Danio rerio: one gene and its partner. Each later gene encodes a partner of the first gene's protein in a complex. Links are inferred from orthologs where the notes say so. Each region holds a gene or a part of one and is shown on either strand. Other genes may lie near its edges.

Region 1 (8,255 bases):
AACAGGATTTGACACTTGTTGATCCTGGAACATCATTTTTTGTTCAAAAAAAGTAATCCATACCTATTGCCAAAAATTCAAGACGAATAATAGTTGGATAACAATCATGTTGAAGTGTGTAAACCAGTGGTCACCAAATTTGTTCCTGGAGGGCCAGTGTCCTGCAGATTTTAGCTCCAACCCTAATCAAACACACCTGAACAAGCTAATCAAGGTCCTACTAGGTATAGTTGAAACACCCAGGCAGATGTGTTGAGGCAAGTTGGAACTAAACCCTGCAGGGACACCGACCCACCAGGACTGAGATTGGTGACCTCTGGTGTAAACCATAAGTCTAACCTTAACATAAAGGGTAAGCGTATCCCTTCATTCTGATTGGCCGATTGAAATGCTATTCCAGGATCAACATAGATAAACATGTACAGGAACATGTGCTATTGCTGAAATCAGGTTAGTGGTGCTGGCATGATTGGGCAGAATCTATCAGCTGTTTTAGATTAAATCTGCAATGAATTTGTGGCAAAGCATGTAAACCAGGGGTGTGCAAACCCAGTCCTGAATGGCCGGTATCCTGGAGAGTTTAGCTCCAACTCTAATCAAATACACCTGAACCAGCTAATCAAGCTCTTACTAGATACTAGAAACTTCCTGGAAGGTGTGTTAAAGCAAGTGTGAGATATAAGCTGCGTCCCAAATGGCACACTATACACTATGCACTCATGCACTATGTACTTATGCACTTACACACTCAACAGGATAGTACATGTATGTAGTGTCGTCCCAAATGGCACACTAATGTTTTTTTACTAAACGGAAATTCAAACCGTTTCCCTGATGACGTTTGACGGTCGCCAAATCAGTGAAATAAACGACCGAATTATCAAATATTACCTGCCGTGAGTGTTGCCGCATTCACCATCCGGAGGCGCTATAATCACTCTCGTAGGAGAATTTTGCTTTCTCCATCCAAAATAAATAAAGTTATCCAACATGTGCGTCCGATAGCTCCGCCCCTTCCGCTACGTAAGCAAACCTGCGGTCGTTGAGTGCGTGAAGTGTCCATCATTACACACTTCATTTTAGCGGCTGAATGAGTGCATCATCCGGGTAATTAAAGTGCACTTATTATTTTAAGATTTTTCAGTGTGAACACACTACTTACACTATTTATACTACAAAATGGCGTAGAATAGTGCATAAGTATGCGATTTGGGACGCAGCTATACTCTCCAGGACACCAGCCCTCCTGGACCAAGTTTGGACACCCCTGATGTAAACGAAAAAAAGCACACACTGCACATGAGATTTGGCGAGTGGCCTTTATGTGCTGTGTTTCAGCTCCACTCTGTGACCCACTGACCTGCAATGTTTATTTCCAACCTCAGCGCCACCAGATGTAGAAGCTATAAGCTCTACTGCAGGGGTGTCGAAACTCGGTCCAGGAGGGCCAGTGTCCTGCAGATTTCAGCTCCAACTTACCTCAACACACCTGCAAGGATGTTTCTAGAAAGCCTTTAAGAGCCTGATTAGCTAGTCCAGCTGTGTCTTATTGGGGTTAGGACTAAACTTTGCAGGACTCCACCCACTGATTGGGGTTGGAACTAATCTTTGCAGGAGACTGACTCTACTGGATAGTGATGCCTCCAGGAGCATGGCAGAAGACCTCTACTGCAGGGGTGACCAACCCTATTCCTGGAGATGCCTTCCTGCAGATTTCAGTTGTAACCCATATCAAACGCACCTCCCTGTAATTAACAAGTGCTGTTCAGGTCTAAATTAATTGGCTCAGGTGTGTTTGTCACGGTTGGAGCTCTGCAGGAAGATAGATCTCCAGGAGCATGGTTGAGCATCCCTGCTCTAGTGCAACTTTTTTTTTTTTCGTCTCAACACAGATGATGCAGGTGGCTCAGTAGTTAGCTGTCGCCTTACAGCAAGTAGGTCACTGGTTCAAGTCCCAGCTGGGCCAGGAGATTTTTTTTTTTGGAGTTTGCATGTTCCCTCCGGGTGCTTTGGTTTCCCCCACAGTCCTAAGACATGCATGAATTGGGTAAACTTAATTGGCCTTCAAGAGTTCACACTTAACTTATAATCAATAGAACGTAATTGACATGCTGTCCCAGGAGAGAGCCCTGAGCTCGTAATATCCTCGAGCCCAGGGCTCCCTCCCGTTAGAAGGGCTAGAGGGGAGTTAAAGCTCAGGTAGGTCTCGAGATCTCCCCTGCTTGTAGCCGTGTGAGAAGTGTAAACTAAGGTTGTCTTGGGTTAATTTGGTTTAGTCGATTGGCTATGGTGTATGCTTTTGGATGGTGGGAGGAAACTGAGGAACCCAGGGAAAACCCATAAGAAAACGGGGAGAACATAGAAACTCCGCACAGAAAAGCCTACAAGCCCGATAGGAGGTTGGACCAGCTGTGTTCTTGCTGTGAGGCAACAGTGCTGGCCACTGGGCCACCGTGTCGCCCTATGGAAAAAAAGGGTGGAAAGTAGGGGTGGAAGGGGGGGGGGGGCTCCAAGACGAATATAACTGGAGTGAAAAACTTTGGTTATTTATAATGCTTCCGTAATCATCTAATAGAGCAGATTACAGAGCTAATGAGGTGCCAGCCGTGTTGATCATAAGCACAAGATCCTCTCGAAATTATTTTATAAATAAATCACACACAGTGAAAGAATGTGTGTGTGAATGAGAGAGTGTATGGGTCTTTCTCCTCACTGGGTTGCAGCTGGAAGGGCTGCATAAAACATATGCCAGAGTAATTGCCGGTTCAATCTGCTGTGGCGACCACTAATAAATGAAGGATAGTGAGTGAGTCAATGCAAGGCTATGTGTTGACTTTTCTTAATGGTTGGTCTTTGGTGGCTGTTACTTGCTCCCTCGCTCATCTTCTTTAAGCTTAGTTCCTGTTTTATCAGGGGTTGCCACCGCGGAAGAAACCACCAATTAGTCTGGCATATGATTTGGATGCCCTTCATACCCGCAACCCAACCCCGAGAGTACACTAATTCATGAACCCCTGTACTGGAAAGGCAGTTTCATTATGTTTATTCATTCATGATTTTACCAAAAGTGACTAATTAATGAGGACTATTTGATTTTTAATTAAAGCTGTCAATAACAGCATAAATAGGCCCAGCCAATCACACTGTCCTTATGTGTTTGTGGGAGGGAGGACCCAGGAAGAGAATGTCACTAACCATTTCTGCATATCTAGGTTAACAAGGGTTGATGGAGCATTATTTTATTTTGAAGGTGATTCAATTATTGGTGGGGATAGTTCAGTAATTGATAGATATTGGTGGGGACATATGCCCTCCATCCAGGCCAAATCTACACCTTTGCTCTGGACTGTGGGGGAAACCGGAGCACCTGGAGGAAACCCACACAAACACAGGGAGAGCATGCAGACTCCACCCAGAAATGCCAACTGACACAGCCAGGACTTGAATCAGCAACCCTCTAGTTGTGAGGCGATAGTGTTAACCACTGAGCCACTGTGCCACCTTAATGAGGTAAATAAAAGAAAAAATAAATAATAATAATAAATTCACAGCAGATTGAAAGGCAAGTACTTTTTCGGTTGTTAAATATATTATTATTTCATATACAATATATTGTTTAAACTATTAAAACCTCAATAAAAGTATTTTTTAAGAACAACAGACACAGACAGATAAAGTAGCATGCTAATAAAACCAAACAAAGTGTCAGCATTTATTATTGGTGTTAACTGGGTTTTGCCACTCATATAAATAGGTTGCTAAAACATTGTGCATCGGGTTGTGATATGTTCAAAACTAAATTAAACAGTGAATCAAGTATATCAATCTTGTTTTCCACAATTGACAGCTTTTAAAAGACACTTATTGTCATAACAAAAAAACTGGCAAAATATGAAAACGTTATTTTAAATGATTTAAATGCACATCAAAACCATGATTAATTGAATTCTGTGGGTAAAACAGTCATGAGTGTCGTGTTGAGGTTGCAGTCTGTAGACTTCATTCACCCTCCTTCTTCCTTCCCTCCTCTTTTCTCTCCTCCTCTCATCTCATCATCAGGAAGCTGCTGCGCTCGAGCCTTTTCTAGCGCGTGAGTGAGTTACTGTATTGTACTGTGAATCTCGGGAGGGGGGCTGCAAAAAAATCTCCTATTCTTACTGAGGTCCACCCCCCTTATTTAAAACTTCTTAAGCCAGATTGCTTTCCAACAGGTCACAGGACGTAGATGCCTTCTTGATTCACATATTTATTTTGTTTTTATTTTAGTTTATGGTTTGGTTTTTTAACACTCCGGGAGGGCAGAAATGGCGGCCAACATGTACCGGGTCGGAGGTATGTCCGTCTATATTCTGAATTAACGCAAGTCAAAACACAGGCACCACCGTAAGACCTGACTGGAAGGCAGGGACTCATTTCAAGCGAATTCCCGAAACCGGCCGCTCACTTTTAAACTCTTTAACACGTGCAGTGTCCTTGCAAAAGAAAACGATAACGTGGATGCAGAATATTTTGGGTTCTGATTTGGGTCAGGCCTCTTAAACTATCATAGCCGCACTAGCATTTTAGCAAGCAGGCTATGTTGCTAGCTAGCCACATCATAAACAAATAATCACTACTATATGTAAAACAATCGGAAACGCGCACTTAGAGCACGTTTCTCTTAGATTTACCCACATAGGTTAAAAGCGAGATATGCTTGCTATTTAACCATTGCAATTTTAGACGCCGATGTTTTTCTTTGTGATCATTTGTCTCATTTTTTGGCACGTATCCATTAGTTACGGGTTCTCATTCGGCATGCAAGGTAGCAAAGCGAGCTAGCATTTAACACCCCTCACTCGATTTCCTTAGAGAAACCACATTCAACTTCTGCCCACTTATTTGCCGAAGCGTTAAGAATTTGCACTGTTTTGATGTGCATTTGTTGTCACGCGTGTAATTAACAGCGTGTATTTAACAATACCGTCGCGTCGTTTGTTTGTGCAATTAGCCGGCTACATGCCGCGGAATTTGACATTGTTTCATGGCGGCGATAATGCAGTGCCATTGAAAATGCTTTTGCAGCTGGACGAGCAAACTTCCTATGAATTCACTGCAAATCTAATAGCATTTGTAATAATTGAATACTTTGCGCGGTTACCTTATGACATGCTCCTTGTGTGATGTTATGTGTTGATACATGTGTAAGAATGTCATTTAAATGGCAATGAAGAGAAAATGCTTGTTTGCATGAATGAAGTGTTTGTTAATGAATGCACATTCTTCACCTCGTCGTCTTGTTTTTGACAAATGCTATATATACAAATGTATCCCAGAAACAAACCATTTCTTAGCCTCAGTCAAAGGCCAAGCTGAAGGTCTTAGTGTCTTGTCAGGTCACACAACACAATTGGTAATGTTTTAGAATAGTAAAAAAAAACATTGCATTATAAAATGTGCCATTTCTAGGGATTTTCATCATTACCGTAATGTAAGTGCAAGAAGAATTCCTGCAATCGAAATGATAATGTTATCAGTTATGCCTAACTGTAAGGAATGTATCCTTTACCCAAAAATTCTTTAGTGTGCAAAATTGTCCGAGGCATATGCACAGTGCTGTGACTTGAAATACATGGTGTTTAAGTTTACATACATGCCTTTAGTTGCCATGATGGCATCAGGTAGAGAACTTATCGATGGAAAAAGTAAAATTTCACAAAAAATGTATGTTGCTGGTTTACGAATGTGTATGTCGTTGCCAACAGGGCAAAAATAGCAATAATGAGATCTGTTGGTGTTACTTCCATGCTGTTTTCTAAAGTGTGATATGATGTCACAAGTTTCAGTCGCAAATGTTTCAATCAGAATGTATAAAGCAAATAAACTGATGTTTGAATCTGATGATAGTTTTTAGATTGTGTAAACTGATGTGCAATTCGATTTAATTCATTTAGATGAACAGAAATTGGTGCATGAAAGCATGTCTGGTGTTTAATGTAGTTTTCTGGCTATAAAAGCAGAAACAAAACCTGCTTCACTCCTTATTTTCATGCTTAAATATATGGTCCACAAGCTTATATCACAATATTATATATAAAAATGACAAATGGCTCATTCATACATCCAAACATAGACTCTCTTAAATGTTTACATGTCTGTACTGCACTTCAATACTGCAACTAGATCGGCATGTGGCACATGTTGTAATTCGATTTCTGTTTAGTTCGATTATGACATTAATTGGATTGTTATTTTTTTATTGTGGTTTACATGGTAGACTCTTAATCAGAGTATTGTCTCGAAATGGATTATTATTATCCATGTAAACAATAATGGATGTTTAAATCCATCTCATTTGGCTACTTTACTAATTTACTGAAGTGGCCAAATGAGATGGATTTAAACATCAGTTATTGTTTACATGGACAACAATTATCTGATTTGAGACAATACTCTGATTAAGAGTCTACCATGTAAACCACAATAAAAAAATCTAATTAACGTCATAATCGAACTAAACAGAAATCAAATTACAACATGTGGCACATGCCGATCTAGTTGCAGTATTGAAGTGCAGTACAGACATGTAAACATTTTAATCAAACTGGTACTGTTGTGTAGGATTTTCGCCGCATTTTGCGTCAAGATACAGTAGTCTATACCAGGGATGGGCAAACTTGATCCTCGAGGGCCGGTGTCCCTGCAGAGCTTTGTTCCAACACTAGTCAAACACACCTGAACAAACCAATCAGTGTCTTCAAGATCACTAGAACTCTATGATGAGGTCTATTTGAATAAGGTTGGAGCTAAACTATGCAGGACACTGGCCCTCCAGGATCAAGTTTGCCCACACCTGGTCTATACACAAACACACGGCTGTTTGACATTATTCTTTGCACCTACCAAGTCAGTGAAGGACTACAGACACCTGCATCGTGAAATGCAGAGGTGTTTTTCTCAATAAGGTGTCTGGTATCAAATTTCATTAAAACAACACTCTTGCAGCAGTTCATACTCGCATTCAATATTTCGTTTGTCTAAGGGGGCATACATGAGATATTGTTGAATGAAAGTGAAGTGCCAAATTGCAGTTAAAGTCAACAAATTAAAAATAAAACTCCAGAGGAAATGTGGATAGTGTGGTGGCCCAACGAAATTAATCGAATTATGTGCTTTTAACATGTAAAACATAACAGGGACATTCAAAAAGCAACTCATGTTAACAACTTAACCATGTTATTGTCTTATTCAGATTAAAGCTAATAATTTGATTACTGATGTCCATGTAAACGTAGTCAATGTTCCCTCCTTTTTACTTGTGGACTGGTAAACACAAATCCTTCATAATACAATTTGTAAACCTTCTAATGAATAAATATCAGCGGGAACCAGTCGTGCCCCAGTTCATTGTTTCGAGTTGTATTTAATGTAATTTTATACAATGACAGGTTCGGGATTTCTAGTTTGCATTTGTTTGGTAAAATTTCTTATCAAAGAAGATATAGTGTCCCAATTACATCCATGTTTAGTATATAGAGTTAGATGAATTTGTACAATAGTATAGTGATGTATATAATAGTATAATGATGTTCACCATTTTCCTGTTTTTTTGTGTGTGATGTTGTTGTTTTTTTGTTTTCCGAGTCTCTGAGACATTTAACTATCATCCAAACCCAAGTTTTGACTTCCAACAAAAATTTTTTTTCTTCTTCTGCAGATTATGTCTTCTTTGAGAATTCTTCAAGCAACCCCTATCTGATCAGGCGAATAGAGGAACTGAATAAGGTACATTATTACCCTCAGGGCTGGGAGGGAGATGTAGCTAGTCGGACAGTGGGTGTACTAGTAGGGTGTCGACACAACATTGTCATGACATTGACGTAAAAAAGCTTAGCCACTTCACACAGAGCTAAATTACTTGCATTTCTGTATGCTTCTTCCGTCAGTCTGTTGTGTTTTCACTCCAAACCTTGTTTGCCGAGAAACCATATCTGTGTGAGATACGCAAAACACCAGACTGCATCCAGGAGTCCCTTAGAGAAGTAGGCTGTGGTGTGAAACCGACATCTTTTTTTCTCCCCCTGTAGGACGTCTGTATTATGATCAAAGAAGATTCAGCTCTTTAAATATTAAATGCTGAAGGATTTTTTAAACAGCCCTTTTTAAACACAATGCATAATTCAAATTAGTCTTTTGCCATTCTGCTTTCATTGTCAGCATACTCCTTGCACACTATTCTCATCGATTAGTTATTAGATCTACTATATTGATATATT
Region 2 (8,017 bases), on another chromosome or scaffold:
AATCACCAGTATAAATAAATAGAAAATAAATAAAAGGATAGAGAGTGCATTTTAGGATTGTTGGGCCCCTTGGCTGGAATCAAATAAGAAATAATTTTCATTATCTGCTTCAGCTATAATTCATTCAAGAATATTAATAATACCACACTCATAAAAAATCACACTATGACAAATTCTGATGTGAAAACTAAAGGAGTATAAAACATTTATACATGTTTGTCTATTTAACTCTTATGTACTGTTAGGGAGGTTTTTATCCACTCTGGGGTCATTTTGAGTCTTAATTTGGCCATAACTTTTTCAGTGTTTCAGCTAGCAGAATGATTTTAATGACAAATCTTATTTTGACACATATATTAAGAAAATGCTTTGGATTTAATTTTTTTTTTACTTAATGATACACTCTGAGCAAATGTACTACCGTGTGGTTATGTTAGAGATGAAAACATCCACTGAAATAAACTGCTGTAAAATGCATCAGATAAACCTTTTTTAAAAATTTATTTGCACAAATCTGTTAATCAACCTCAGTCCAGATCAAAATTACTAAGTTGTTAAGAAATCTACAGGATTTTAACTCCTTAAATGGCAAATTCATAAATGATGTCATTGATTTGGTGAAAAAAAACACACAAATGATTACATATTTTCAATAATACAATAAGTAATTGTGGATTGGATTTTTTTTAACCTTTTATCACAATCTTGGACAGTTGAAACAACCGTGGGGCTGTTTTTGCCTCATTGGCTTCCATTATAACCACATTTTTTTTCATTACAAAACCATTACACAATATACATATGCATTTTTGATTTTCCCTGTTGAGAGGAGGTAAGTTTTGCAATTTTTACTGTTGATCATAAGTTGGTACCATTAAGCCTTTAGATACACCTGTGAAAAAAGTTTAGTTTCTGGATTTTATATGGAGTATTTATTCATTCATTCATTTTCTATTCGGCTTAGTTCCTCTATTAATCTGGGGTCGCCACAGCTGAATGAACCGCCTATATGCAGTATAAAAGCAAACTAAAGTGTGTCTGTGAGTTTGTGAAAGTGTTACATTGATGTGTCTAAGAAAATCAAAATATACATCTCAGCTCTCCGAACTACATGGAGTAAATAAAAACAAACATATATGCACCATCAAATGTGCTTATAAAGGAAGTCAATGGGCCAAAAACAGCCATCAACAATAAATTAGGGAAAAACTTTAAATCTAACAATGCATCAAAGCCAGTGTTGTTACTAATCATTCACATGTCTAAGACTGTAAAAAAAATCCACAACTACTTTTTATATTGAAAATAGGTCATTTTGTGTGTTTTGTGAGTAGTAAATTTGAACAGTGCACAAGAGTTAATGAATAAATAAATAGTTGGCTGTCTGAGCGGTTGGTTTTCAACCAAATTACTGATCTCACTTTGGCAGATCTAGTATTCGTAAGCAGATTATCCATCTCACTATGCACATAACAAGCCAGAGGATCCAGCTAATGCATCCTGATTAACTGACATTTTCTTTCAGTCAGATGTCAGAGTGGTCAGTAGACATCTATATTGTTTAAAAATAATGGACACATTATACTAAAGCACCCTGCAGCCCAAGACTGGTTACTCACTGAAGATAAGCAGAGCTGAGCCTGGTCAGTGGGAGACCAAATGGGTTGCTGTTGGAACTAAGTGGTTTTAGTGAGGCCAGCAGGGGTGCTCAACCTGCAGACTGTGTAAGTCCTAATGCCCCAGTAAAGTGAAGGGGACACAATAAAGCTAAAGATCTTTGCCCGAACCTGACAGGACCCGGCGGTAAAGCGCTAAACATCAAGCTGACAGGTAAAAAGACGAGGTCACTCGCTACATTGAAACCGCTGTAATGGGAAATTAAATGGATGTTCCTGGCTGGTAGAAGATGAACAAACAATCCTACCCAAAATTAGCCAGATCAGACCTATGCATCTAGGCCTGTAGCAGCAGCAGTGAAAGGGTGTTCGGTGCCGCTGGATGCACCATCCTGAGCACAGGACTGCGCTAAAGCAATTTACAGTGGATTCAATAATGTTCCTCCACAAAAACACGTAGCCTAATCTTGGTGAGTAAAGGGTTTTTAAATGATAAATAAATATTAATTAAACCATAAAATCATAATGTGGACAGAGTATACAGACTAATGTTGGCATTAGGCTATTCTTTTAATATTCTGCTTCACCGTCGCCTTAAGGCCAGATTGTGAAGAGAAGTGGCGAAACAAATCCCTCAGAGCCTTTATCTAAATTTTGTTATTGCCAAATACCCGTCATAATTTACAATTCATTTTAATTTAATTTGTTAAGAAAGACTTCTTTTCATGGGTGTGTTGGCCAATTTAAAGGCTAGGTGAATGTAGCTAGGCTTTTACACTCTCAGAAATGAAGGTAGAAGCTGTCACTGGGGGCTGGTACCTTTACAAAAGGTAAGAATTTGTACCTAAAAGGTCCATATTAGTACCAAAAAAGTACAAGTAGGTACTAATATATACCTATGAGGTACCAATAAGGACCTTTCAAGTTCAAATGTGTACCTTTTGAAAAGGCACCACACCCCAGTGACAGCTTGCGTACCTTTATTTCTGAGAGTGTAGAGCGCCGAGATGTTACGATGTTACAGAGGACTTATTTTATTTCTTTGTTCCAACTTCCAAGTGGCCTATAGCCTACGTTTGTTACGAATAAATTATGTTGAAACATATAAATGACTCATTCTTGAAAAAAAGGCAAACGAGCTGTGTGCCTGTGCACATTTGAATAATGTCAGGCTGTAAACGGGTTTGGCCTTTTAAAAAGCTGTCAATCAAAATGTCCCTGTCGGGCTCACGCCGAATTCTGTTGGGCTTGGGCCCTGTCGAGCCTAATTTTTATGGCCCAATTACAGCTCTAAGACACAACTGTCAGTGAGTGCCGTCTTTCAGATGTTAAACTGAGGTCCTGACTCTCTTTGGTTAATGAAACTTTTCATAAAAGAGTAGGGGTTTAATCCCAGGGTAATCGCCAAAATTCTCTCAATTAGCCCTTACCCATCATGGCCTCCCAATCATCCCCATCCACCGAATTGGGTCTATCACTGTCTCGCCACTCCACCAATAGCTGGGGTGTGGTGAGCCCAGTGACGCTGTAGTCCTGTGTCTGTTGTGGCGTACAGTCTAGGTACGTGGCCGGCCGGAAGTGAGATATGCACATAAATATAGCAGCATTTTTTTGTGATTCTATAACAATAATTAATGTTTTTAATAAATTAATATTTTTCAACAGTACATTTTTGTACTGTTGGGTCAGTAAGATTGGGTGTAGGATTGGGGTGCGGGTAGACAATAACAAAATACAATGGGAAATGTAAAAATAAATAATATAAATCATTCTCGCTAGCTTCTGCCAAAGCCGTGTGCGATCTAGTGACAACCCTGGTGTGGTGGTGGTGTGGAGAGACCTTCACATGATTGTGAAGTACTACAGTTATATTGGCCATACATGATAAAATGCAATATATATAAAAAATACGCATTTACAAAATAAATAATAAAAAAAATTGTAGACTGCAAAATGTGTGTTTAATGTATCACTTTGGCATTAAAGACTTCCAAACAGGCATACAATAATGCATAGTTTGCTCTAGCTGGCTCTATTTCATCAATTACAAAATAATATTATCTAATAATCATAATCATAATAATAATAATAAACGCCTTCGACTATCAACATTCCACACGCTTATATTACCAACTCACTGTTTTCCACTTTCTACAAACAAGAAAAATCCAGAATGAAATCTTCATTGTGGAAAAGAGAGGGAGAAGGGGAGAGAGAGGCGGCAGAGGCGCGTGCCTGATGACGCAGTCACTCTTTTTGCCGAGTATCATGGGAAAATAACATAGCAGGCTAGCACGCGCAGGAAGAGAGGAGAAGAACCGACACCTCCGCGCACAGAAACTATTCCCGTGCGTTAATATTCATATTTACCTCCCCGAACAACTACAAACCGGCGAACAGAAACCACATTTAACCGTTCAGCGAGTCGTGAAGTGTTCCCGGTTGTTGTTGTCGGTTTCATTTGTCGGCTTGTTGGATATTTAGCGCGTGTCGCTGTCGAGCGAGTTTGCGGAAGAGGTGGGTTGTTAAATGTACCTTTCATAAATCACCACAGGCATCCTGCCGTCTTTAAACCACAAACTATATGTTTACAACTCTATGAACGCTGCACGTGGTGTACATTTTCACAAAATAGTGAAAAGTCTGTCAAATGCGGGCGATTTAAATGGACAAGTCGCGGTTTTCGAGCCGGTTAAGTTGAGAGGGGACCGTCATTGCTGTCCGCTAGCCTTTATCTTGTCTCACCTCACTATGCATATCTATACATCTGCTCTTTGTGTTCGCATTAGGTCAACGCCGTTCCTGCTTCGGACGCCAAAGCCCAACGAGATTACATTCGGGGGATAAGCAGAAAGTTTTCATCACGCGAGGTTACAGTCGACGGCGGTGTAAATATGAGTTACAAGCCGATCGCCCCCGCACCCACCGGCTCCAACCACACTCCTCCAGGTGAGTTTCATTGTGCTCTCTGTTCATTCATTTTTACGTGCTTCTTTCATTTTGAGGTATTTTACGCCTATCATCTTTTTAAACGCCCCGTTTTAATCCCAAGGAAAGGGTCAGTGAACCTACAGTAAAAGAGGTCAGAGGCACGGATAAAAGGGGGAGGAGTTAAAGGAGCCATGGCCATCTGTCTTGCTCATTACATAAATGTGGTTTAACGTGCTGCTAACCGCGCCCTGCAGCGTTTATTTTTAAAACCATAACTGTTTCCCCAGTGTTAGTGTTGTGCCATCACATCTGTGTGTCCCAGTCTTGCCTCTGTTTCTCCTCACTTCCTTACACACACAAACACACTGGGTGGCAACGTTTCATTGGTCGAATTTGGCCTTTTGACATTTCCTTGATTTGTGATTGGTCTTTATCTTGTTCTCTGGTTTCAGGATCTTGTGGCTCTTCTCCATCACTGGCCTCCTCTTCAAACTTTAGACCAGCATTTAGTGACTTCGGTCCTCCATCGATGGGCTTTGTACAGGCATGTTTTGATGACATTGGGGTTTTTTTGCAATTTGCTGTATTGGAACAATGATTAATTTCAAACCTGTACATTTCTGTTCTTTTTGACACGACCAGTCAAAATTTTGAACTACGTTTTTCAGATGTTTTTGGAAAAGCCTCCTTGGCTCACTGTGGCTGCATTATTTAATGAATATAATATAATTGCTGTAATGTTGTGTTTAACATTTTTATAATACAATTTTATGAACAATTAACACATTTATATAGGCATTGGGGCATAAATGAGGCAGTGTATGTTTTGGTTTCATATTATGTTAAGATTAAATGTAAGTGTTCTTGTAATTAAAATATCCAAAACCCAGTAAAAGTGTTTTTTTGCTAACTTGTGTACTTGCTTTATCTCAAATGTTAAGTAGAAATTGAGAGAAGTGAGCAGTTTTAACTTGACACAACCGTGTCCAGTGTTGCCATGCTAATTATGTCATACATTTGGTGGCAAAGAGAGCTGAACGTGCTGCAATTTAAGAAACTACAAAAAACAAAAAAATAGCTATTACAAAAAACGGCAGCAAATTGAGAAAAGATCTTCATCGGTTTGACAGCACACGTGCTGCATTTTCGCACAACGCAAACAAATAATAAAATACGCTGCATTTTCACACAACGCAAACCTTTTACGACACAGTTTTTGGGTCACCTTGAAACATTTTCGTTGAGTCAAGTTTTTTGTGTTGTGAGCAAAATCAGTGCGTTTTCGTAAATTGTTTGAGTGTGACAAAATGCAGTGCGTTTTCGTATAAATTGTTTTATTGTAAAAAATGCAGTGCATTTTTGAAAACGAGTATGACAAAATGCAGTGCGTTATTTAAATTGTGTGTGACAAAATGCAGTGCATTTTCGTAAATTGTTTGCATTGTGAGAAAATGCAGTGCATTTTCGTAAACTGAGTGACAAAATGCAGTGCGTTTTTGTAAATTGTTTGAGTGTGTCAATGCAGTGCATTTTCGTAAATTGTTTACGTTTTGAGAATTCAGTGCGTTTTCGTAAATTGTTTGGGTTGTAAAAAATGCAGTGCGTTTTCTTAAACTGTTTGCGTTGTGAGAATGCAGCTGTTTTATTATTTTTTTTGTGTTAAAAAAGCAGTGCGTTTTTTATTTATTTATTTTTTTTTATGTTTGCGTTGGGAGAATTCGCAGCACAGCTGTCAAATGGATAAGGATCTTTACTAAATTTGCTTGCGAGTTTTGTAATTGCGCGTGTTTACTTAAATTGCAGCACATTGAGCTCTCTCGGCCACTGTACATATACCCTTGATTTATGTTTTGCTTTTATAGAAAACTGAAAATGACGGTCCTTGTTTTATGTCGCATATTTTATTAGACTAATCAGAGCAGCAGTATAACAGAAGCCTAAAATTTATTTAGTATGATAAAACTGCTGTGCTGCTTCACATGATCACAATTTGGGGGAAAAAAGGAAGAGGTTGACTGTGGCATAATAAAAGCTCCACTGTTTTTCTGCTATGTCGCACTCTTCTCTTATCAGCAATTGCTTGATTGCTTGGAAGTCCTAATTCCAAAATGTCATTTATTTCTTTAGAGGCAAAGCAGAATTTTCATTATCGTTATTTCAGTCATCAGTGTGACCTGATAGAATCATTTGTAAAACAACATAATTATTTAAAATATTTGTTTGAATATTAGTTTCCTAAACTGAAAGTGCAACCCATAATTTAACATTTTAACATACATTTGGATAAAGATAGCCAGAATGGCTTTAAATTCCCCTAAAATTCAAAGTATTGAGCCATAAATTATAAATCTTTTTGAATAATTACAAACTTTTGATTTGTAGTGTGTATTACACTTTTTTTTGTAAATAGGGTGTCACACAGACTTCCTCAACGGCTGTCTTGTTTTGTTTTTTGTAGCCGGTCAAAGTGTCCCAGGGATCTACCTATAGTGAGCTGCTCTCCGTCATTGAGGAGATGAGCCGTGAAATTCGGCCTACCTACGCCGGCAGCAAAAGTGCCATGGAGAGACTGAAGAGAGGTACTCCAAAGCCTTCTGAGCACAGTACAGCATGCAGCACATTTGTAACAGTCAGTGACGTTTAGCCCCCTGGAGTAATGTGAGCCTAAGGGCAGTCGAGAGAGTTGTTCTCAGTTTTTCAGTTCTGTGTTCGTGCAGTGTTGCTTTTGCCTGCTCTAAGAAAGGCTTTTGCATTTTACTCTGACTTATTGTTCCTAATGCTGCTTTGTGCCAAGCCTTATACACTACCTGACAAAAGTTTTGTCGTCGATCCCAGTTGTAAGAGTAAAAAAACTTGATCTCTGGTTGATCTTTTGGAAAAGTGGCAGAACATCGATTTCTTTTTTTTCAGATGAATCATGTTTTGAACTGCATCCCCAATCATTATAAATACTAAAGATGACCTATTGGAACGCGCTTGGACCCACGATTCTCTCAGAAATCAGTCTAGTTTGATAAAGGAAAAATCACGTTTGAGGTTATATTCAGTATGGGGGCGTGCGAGAGATCTGCAGAGTGGATGACAACATCAATAGCGCGAGATATCAAGACATTTGTGCTGCCCGATACATTACTAAACCACAGAAGAGGGCAAATCCCTCAGCAGGATAGCAGTCCTTATACATCAACCTCCACATCAAAGTTCCTGAAAGCAAAGAAGGTCAAGGTGCTCCAGGATTGGCCAGCCCAGTCACCAGATATGAACTTTATTGATCATGTCTGGGGTAAGATGGAGGCAGTGAATATGAATCCAAATAATCTTGATGAACTCTGGGAGTCCTGCAAGAACACTTTCTTTGCCATTCCAGATGGATTTAATAATAAGTTATTTGAGTCATTGCAGAGATGTAGGGATGCAGTCGTCCAAGCTCTTGGGAGTCACAATATTACATACACAATATTAATTCTTTA

What was found. The genes of interacting proteins can lie anywhere in the genome.
Region 2: mta3 (region 1) and cdk2ap2 share a complex: the UniProt entries of both Homo sapiens proteins name them as parts of the nucleosome remodeling and deacetylase (NuRD) repressor complex. The link is inferred for Danio rerio from reciprocal best matches to the Homo sapiens genes MTA3 and CDK2AP2.

The regions. Positions count from the first base shown.
Region 1 is NC_133187.1:27,001,314-27,009,568, forward strand, and holds the start of mta3 (metastasis-associated protein MTA3), read left to right. Parts: upstream 1-4,101; 5' UTR 4,102-4,162; exon of another isoform or gene 4,163-4,266; 5' UTR 4,267-4,304; coding exon 4,305-4,332; intron 4,333-7,696; coding exon 7,697-7,764; intron 7,765-8,255. UniProt on the Homo sapiens protein: Acts as a component of the histone deacetylase NuRD complex which participates in the remodeling of chromatin.
Region 2 is NC_133176.1:43,112,358-43,120,374, reverse strand, and holds the start of cdk2ap2 (cyclin-dependent kinase 2-associated protein 2), read left to right. Parts: upstream 1-3,925; 5' UTR 3,926-4,133; intron 4,134-4,405; 5' UTR 4,406-4,510; coding exon 4,511-4,565; intron 4,566-4,999; coding exon 5,000-5,091; intron 5,092-7,005; coding exon 7,006-7,126; intron 7,127-8,017. UniProt on the Homo sapiens protein: Acts as a component of the histone deacetylase NuRD complex which participates in the remodeling of chromatin.